Kluyveromyces lactis: one gene and its partners. The protein of the gene in region 1 interacts with the protein of each later gene in a biochemical or structural test. Links are inferred from orthologs where the notes say so. Each region holds a gene or a part of one and is shown in the gene's direction. Other genes may lie near its edges.

Region 1 (3,036 bases):
TTGCAAAGAAGAATTTGTCCTATGAGTCTGTGTCCGTTGCTTGATCACTTCAGCAGGAACACGAACCATACATGCAGAAATCTCACCAAAACTAGAAGAGACCATATGCGAAAGCGTATCTGCCGTTTGATCTTCACCTTTTGGCAAAAGCTGACCGATAACAGGCCGCGACCAGCACTTCATCGAATCATACGCAACGAAAAACAAAGAAGCACTTGGTGCACTCGCAACAACCGCGCTCCCAAGACCACGGTACACACCTTTGTATCCACCATTGGCGAAAAACCCACCTTTAGCTTGTAACCGGGTTTTCAAGGTGTCTATTGGGAAAAATGCCAGATCGGTCGACGTTCCTGCTGCGGCACCACTCACCAAGGACGCAATAAACATCTGAGAATCCATTTCGCACTATTCCCCCAAACTCCGATCTATAAAAGACTCGTCTGAGTCTGTAATTGATGTACAATTCGTCTTTCAAACCAGGTGATGGTGCAACAAATGCAAATCTTTAAATCATACATATGTATATGTTCGGTTCACTGCTCTGGCTTCTTTTTTTTTCAACATAGGATTTGAGGAAAAAAAATCGAGAAATGAAAATAATTGGAATTTGGGAGGGAAACACATCTTGACTAATGCAAGAATCAGAATCAAAATAGAGGAGAAGAAGAGTTTAGAGAGCAACAAAGGGTCTATATTCTCAGTTGCGTATTAGGAAATTGTCTGATAGTACAAGACCTAATTTTAGAAACAAGAATTGATTGATACATTCAGTGTACTTTCAGTGATATCCCAGGTTTTTTTGTTCATTGTTTTTAAGGACAAAAGCTCGGTTTTAAAAGGAGTTATAGTTCTAAGATCGTATACAAGTTTCAAGCAACAGTCTACTATCCTAAGATAGATATTGTAATGACGATGACATTGTTAAGAGGAGTGAGTGTTTTTTCCAGGCGTGTGCCCGTTGCTGGTGGTTTTGGCTATTTGAAGCGTGCTGATATTAGTAACGTTGTTTTACAGGGACGGACGTATGCAAGTGCCAAGGTTGCCTTAGCAGAAGATTTGACTTTGGAAACGCATACAGATAACCAAGCAGCAGCTATTGAGCAAGCCAACGAAAGAGCCGTGTCAAATCCCGATGTTTTGGACAGTGGTATACATTCTTTGCAACATGCATACCGTGAATCCGGGGAATACGGTACAAGACCTATATATCTCGACATGCAAGCTACCACTCCAACAGACCCAAGAGTTCTAGATACCATGTTGAAATTCTACACGGGGCTTTATGGTAATCCTCATTCAAATACTCATAGCTATGGTTGGGAAACTAACAAGGAGATCGAACAAGCAAGAAAATACATCGCCGATGTTATCAAAGCTGATCCAAAGGAGATAATCTTCACTTCCGGTGCTACAGAATCAAATAATATGGCTTTGAAGGGTGTCTCAAGGTTTTACAAGAAGACAAGAAACCATATTATCACTACAAGAACTGAACACAAGTGTGTGTTAGAAGCCGCCAGAGCTATGAAGAACGAAGGATACGAAATCACATTTTTGAATGTTGATGAGCAGGGTTTGATCAATTTAGAAGAGTTGGAAGCTGCGATCAGACCTGAAACTTGTTTAGTTTCTGTTATGGCCGTCAACAACGAAATTGGTGTTATGCAACCATTGAAAGAAATTGGTGAACTTTGTAGAAAACGCAAAGTTTTCTTCCATACCGATGCAGCGCAAGCTTATGGTAAGATACCTATCGATGTGAACGAAATGAAAATAGATCTGATGTCCATTTCCTCACACAAAATTTATGGTCCAAAGGGAATTGGTGCCATTTACGTTAGAAGAAAGCCAAGAGTCAGATTAGATCCGCTTATCTCCGGTGGTGGTCAAGAAAGAGGTTTACGTTCTGGTACATTGGCTCCACCTTTGGTTGCCGGCTTCGGGGAAGCAGCAAGATTGATGATGAAAGAATACGAGAACGACTCAAATCACATTAAAAGATTATCTGACAAATTAATGAACGCTTTGTTATCTATTGACCATACAATCTTAAACGGTTCTGCTGACCATCGTTACCCAGGTTGTGTTAACATTTCATTCGCATATGTCGAAGGTGAATCCTTATTGATGGCTCTTAGAGATATTGCTTTGAGTTCTGGTTCTGCTTGTACTTCGGCATCTTTAGAACCATCTTATGTGTTGCATGCATTGGGTAAAGATGATGCTTTAGCACACTCTTCCATCAGATTCGGTATTGGTAGATTCACCACTGATGAAGAAATTGATTACGTTATCAAGGCTATCACGGAAAGAGTTGATTTCCTAAGAGAGTTGTCCCCATTATGGGAGATGGTCAAGGAAGGTATTGACTTGAACTCCATCGAATGGTCAGGTCATTAAGCTGGAACAAAAGTGATCTATATCATAGATTCATCATTTTATTTTCTTGCTAGAGTGCATACCAAATCTTTATCTGGTTTCTCAATTTACATGATCTCCCGTTATAACTCGGGGAACTACTACCGTATATACTTTGTTCCTCGATTTCAAAGTACAATCATAATCTCATCTGACTTATCGTTTTTTCTTTTATCTTTCTCTTCATCTCAATATTATGATTAGATTGTTTTGTAAGCTTTTCTACCTGAAATATGCACCAATATTCAGAATATCTCGTTTGCCAGTTTTTATACAAGTCTTTCTATAGTTAAGTATAAAAATGTTATGTTATTAACGTTCAAATGCTCAATCACATCTGGACAAGCAAATTTCCTTGTCTTCAGTTCATTTTGGGTATGCTCCTTTAGATTTAACACATTGCAGGCTAACCGGAACCTGTATTATTTAGTTTATGCTACGTTAAATAAAGACCTTTCGTTCACATAACTGAATGTGTAATGGCCTTGAGATTTCAAGCATACCAAGTTGGTGGAGACGGGGTCGTTACAAAAGACTCTTTAAGCCAAGATTTCCTTGACAGCCTTGGCGATAGCATCGCCAACCTCAGTGGTAGAGTTAGAACCACCAAGGTCA
Region 2 (2,012 bases), on another chromosome or scaffold:
TACCGATTAATAAAGGGAGAAATTTTCGCTCTTCCATGCATTAAAATAACGCCTGTAACGAATTGTACAAATCATAAAACGGAGCATACACATCCTTGAGAAAGGATCCGTTCCCATGAGCATCCCTTGGTAAGTTATGCACGTACTGTTTTAACCTATCTGCCAGATATGGCAAATCCATCAGGATAACTTGAGAAACGCCTCTTTGCCAGACGTAAAGACCAAATACTACCAGAATAACATAAGAGGACGATTTAACAACTCGAATGGCACGCTTTATAGTCAAATAGGCCATGTATAATGAAAACAAGTAACCCAACCAGTCAGAGACTTGTGGGTACCTACTTACAAGCGAATGCACCGTCTGTAGGGCCCATATCAGATAATAAGAGGCATAGTATGTCAGTTTTTTTGCCAAATTCACGTATGGCTGATATTTTGGATCACTCAACAGATGTTGTAATCTCTGGTATTCTTGATAACTATTCATAATCGTCTAACCTTAACCACTCAAACGTCGAAACTGCTTTACCGGTTTGCTTACCAGTACCCAAAATAACTCCTGGCTCCGATATTACTCCACGGATTTAACAAATACCGTACGAAAGTTGACTTTAACTTTAATAAGGGAACGGCACTGACAGAAGAAAAGACAATCCAAATCTTTCTCAGCTAATTCGGAGATAGAAGTATATATATATAAATATATTCCTGAATTGCAGTGCAAAACAGAAGAATATTCAAGAAACTATTATACAGTAAAATTTACATCTTAAATTCACGTTGCCATCAGAATCAGAATAAAGTTGTGTTTTGGTTTTTTAGTTTCAGTTTTTAATTTCCTTTCGTTTTCTGATTTCTTTAACATTGGAAAGAAGGAAAAAAATATTGTACTTTATTATATTTTTTAGTACTTTTAGAAGAACGTTTAATCATACATAACACAAATCACAAGGTAAGGTTCAGGATCCCATATCGGTATTATCATAGACCGGAGTTTCTGCGTGTAATTATTTGATCCGCTAGCTTTCAGTTTTATTCTTTCCGTTGTTTTAAAGGTATTTTTACGAAAGGAATTGGAGTGATTTCGTAAGGAAGATAATTTCAACTCTTCAACTAGCTACACATCCACAAGCACACACATATATTAATACAAGAGATGCCAGCTACTGGAGCAAGCAAAACGCAGATATTGCATATGTATAAAGAGTTCATCAGGAACGCGAGCAAGATACAGAATTACAATTTCAGAGAGTATTTTTTAAGAAGGGCAAGAGAGTCATTCCGTGCCAATAAGAACGTTGAAAATCCTGAAAAGATCAGCGAATTGCTTTCTGAGGCAGAAAAAGACCTTGGTGTATTGAAGAGGCAATCTGTGATCTCTAACATGTACACATTTGATAAATTAGTGGTTGAGCCTCTGAAGAAGCGTTAGCATGGCCCATTTACAGGAATGCTTTCCCCTCTCTTTTTCATATTTCTTTCAATCAATGAACGACAGTCCCACTAGTCCAGTTCCCCCACATAATTTCCTTGGTCCGCATCCCATGTTTTGCATTTTAAATAGGTATAATTAACAGAAACGCGATTCTAACAGATTCAATATGATCTCAACAGTTCTACAATTACTGGGATGACTCAAAATGCTAGTAAATTTACTCATTTTGTTTATCTCTTTCGCGCAAAACACCAATCGTTTGCGTAGACAATTAATATGTCTTTAGGGTAGGTTATGGTACTGAAACACGGTGTCTGTAAACAGCAAGGACAGACGATTTGTGTCTTCCACGACGTTCCGATCCATGCTAGACTGCTGTTCGAGGATTAATAAGCGGAAAGAGAGAGAGACATGGGGTTTGGAATTGCTCAAAATCACGTGAACAGGCACGTGACTTCAACCAACCCAAATCCAAGATAATATCATCGTCGTAATCCAGATATTATTCATGTTATGCATATTTCCCTTAATACCAATTATAAGGTCATTGTCGTCAGTGCCGTCGCATCAAACA
Region 3 (2,411 bases), on another chromosome or scaffold:
GTGGTTGCTGGTGGAGAATTAGTGACGAAAGTGTTTACATTGTCGACGAACAAGAAGTGCTTTCTACCCCCGGTGTTTTCATGTTGTTCTACGAGTACGATTATGATACAGAAACAGGGAAGATGAAAGACGATACTGAATACGAGAATGAATTCAACGTAGAGATTGAAGGTGAACCTGCTGTTGATCAAGTAACTCATTGAATTTTATTTTGCAATTTCACGCATCTAGTTACATAGATACATAAATATCACAAATCCCCTAATATAATAGCATGTTACAATCAGAGTTTTGGAGGAGTTTGAAACGCTGTACGTAAACCTCTTTACTTGTGAGAACAAAAAGGCTCACACAAGATTTTCCTGTGTCTCATTTTCTTTACCCAAATACTGGGCATACCTTGCAGCTTCCTCTTGTTGTTGCTCTCTTAAATCCTCCGCGATCAACTCATCAACATCATAATCAAATTCAGCTTCGTCCTCATTGTATTTACCAATGACACGCTTCTTCAACCCTGTTTTCCCATCGATTTCGAACTTCCGAGTCCCAAATCCCTCACCTTCTTGTGATGAACTAACTTTAAACTTCACAGGTGCATCCTCTTTCTTCAATTTTGCATATTTTGCAAGGGATCCAGCCTTTTCCGAATCTTTGGCATCACCACTGCGTCTGGTAGTCTTCTTGTCCACTGAATATGAACCAATTCCTCCAATTAGCGGTAGTAATACAACGAAAGCTACCACTAAAAGAAACACAATTAAATATACAAATGGGTTCATTGCGAAAGGCAGTACTGACGTCTAGTTGGCACTTTTCGTCAAGAAGTTGATATTATATCTTAAGAAACAGTTGTTTCCCTTTGTATGCATAGCCATTAGCCATATAGTGTGAGTGTCGGCTCATCGATCTTTTTTTTTCAATATAGATTGTGGAAATTAGATATAAACTTAAAAGACTTGAAGGACCTTTTCAGTTGAAGTAGGTTGAGAAATCACAGTTTAGGTACGTTATTCTCTATCACGTTGAGTTCAGCATACAACATATTGAGGTGCGAAAACTGAATCAGTCCTAGTTGCTATTAGCTTGAATTAGTAAATTTACCTTGAGGCTTGCGGGAACAGACAACGTTCAAAGGAATTATTCGGAGTATTGAATTGATACAGTAGGAAAGAAATTAGAAGATAAGGAATAAATGCTAGTGAAAAATAGCTCCAGGGTCATTAGAAGCGTCATTTCCAGACGTAGTATTGTTACCAAAGCGATACCTAGCATAGGTCTCGCAAGAACTGCACCAACTAGGGCTCCTGTGTTGTCAAAACTCGGGATTTTGAATCAACATAATCTACCCTTTGTTACAGTACAGCGGATGCATAACAGTATAGCAGCATCAACAGATGGGAAAACTATCCCAGAAGAGATTCTGGATATGCCTATCGAAGTGTATCACGAAATTTCTGATGAGTTTATGGATAGCTTACTGGATCAGCTCGAAATTCTCTGTGATTATCATCCAGAAGTCGTGCAGGATGTTGAGATGTCACAAGGTGTGATGAGTATAGAAGTTCCTTCCGTTGGTACATATGTAATCAACAAGCAGCCCCCAAATAAACAAATATGGTTGGCTTCTCCGGTGTCTGGGCCCAACCGATTCGATTACTATCAAAAGGAGTGGGTTTCGTTGAGAGACGGTACGAAGTTACTGGATATCCTAAACAAAGAGCTCAGTGACCGACTAGAAGGCGACGAAATTGACCTACATTACTGAACGATGTAAATATGATCTTGCTGCTCACAAACTGCCTTACAACTATGGCATGTCCGCAGTTCACCGTTAAGGACCCAATTTCGCAGAAACAATTCAGAGATCACAATCAACCAATTTTACTCTTATTTATGTATATACTTTTGTTTGTTTCATTTATTTATACCTATAACGTCCAAAATATACCTTACTGACGCGATTGCACTTACACAGTCCCTGACTTCTTTTGTTCTTTATAGTCTATACTTTGTTGCTATATAAATGAAATCTGTTTGACTCAGTAACTTTCTCTTCTATAAATGAAATCTGTTTGACTCAGTAACTTTCTCTTCTATAAACCACATTTGATAGTCTCGGTAAAGAAGGGGTCATTCTGAGCCAGAAGCAAACAACCCCAATCATAACAATCATGACATTCAAATCGTTCATTATCACATTCAAAGACAGCGTTCCAGAAGCCGACGCTTCAAAGATCAAAAACTCCATTTCTTCTCTGGGTGGTACTATTGTCCATGACTATTCCTTAATTAAGGGATTTGCTGTCAAGTTGCCAGAGTCTCTAAAGATTGATAAATTGAAGGATTTGCACGGTGATGCTTTCGAAACTATCGAGGAAGATAAAGAGGTCAAAGCTTTATAAGCAGGGGAT

Evidence for each region.
Region 2: the proteins of NFS1 (region 1) and ISD11 form a complex in vitro, tested with the Saccharomyces cerevisiae proteins (3 studies listed by BioGRID). The link is inferred for Kluyveromyces lactis from reciprocal best matches to the Saccharomyces cerevisiae genes NFS1 and ISD11.
Region 3: the proteins of NFS1 (region 1) and YFH1 form a complex in vitro, tested with the Saccharomyces cerevisiae proteins (2 studies listed by BioGRID). The link is inferred for Kluyveromyces lactis from reciprocal best matches to the Saccharomyces cerevisiae genes NFS1 and YFH1.

Annotation. Positions count from the first base shown.
Region 1 is NC_006040.1:421,916-424,951, reverse strand, and holds NFS1 (cysteine desulfurase), read left to right. Parts: upstream 1-909; coding exon 910-2,403; downstream 2,404-3,036. Other genes in the region: PET8 (Pet8p), read right to left, coding at 1-402; LEU2 (3-isopropylmalate dehydrogenase), read right to left, coding at 2,961-3,036. UniProt on the Saccharomyces cerevisiae protein: Catalyzes the removal of elemental sulfur from cysteine to produce alanine. It supplies the inorganic sulfur for iron-sulfur (Fe-S) clusters. Plays a role in both tRNA-processing and mitochondrial metabolism.
Region 2 is NC_006041.1:402,153-404,164, forward strand, and holds ISD11 (Isd11p), read left to right. Parts: upstream 1-1,159; coding exon 1,160-1,435; downstream 1,436-2,012. Other genes in the region: APQ12 (Apq12p), read right to left, coding at 41-490.
Region 3 is NC_006041.1:787,104-789,514, forward strand, and holds YFH1 (ferroxidase), read left to right. Parts: upstream 1-1,192; coding exon 1,193-1,765; downstream 1,766-2,411. Other genes in the region: ubiquitin-specific protease UBP1, read left to right, coding at 1-203; EXP1 (Exp1p), read right to left, coding at 348-779; PBI2 (Pbi2p), read left to right, coding at 2,172-2,402. UniProt on the Saccharomyces cerevisiae protein: Promotes the biosynthesis of heme as well as the assembly and repair of iron-sulfur clusters by delivering Fe(2+) to proteins involved in these pathways.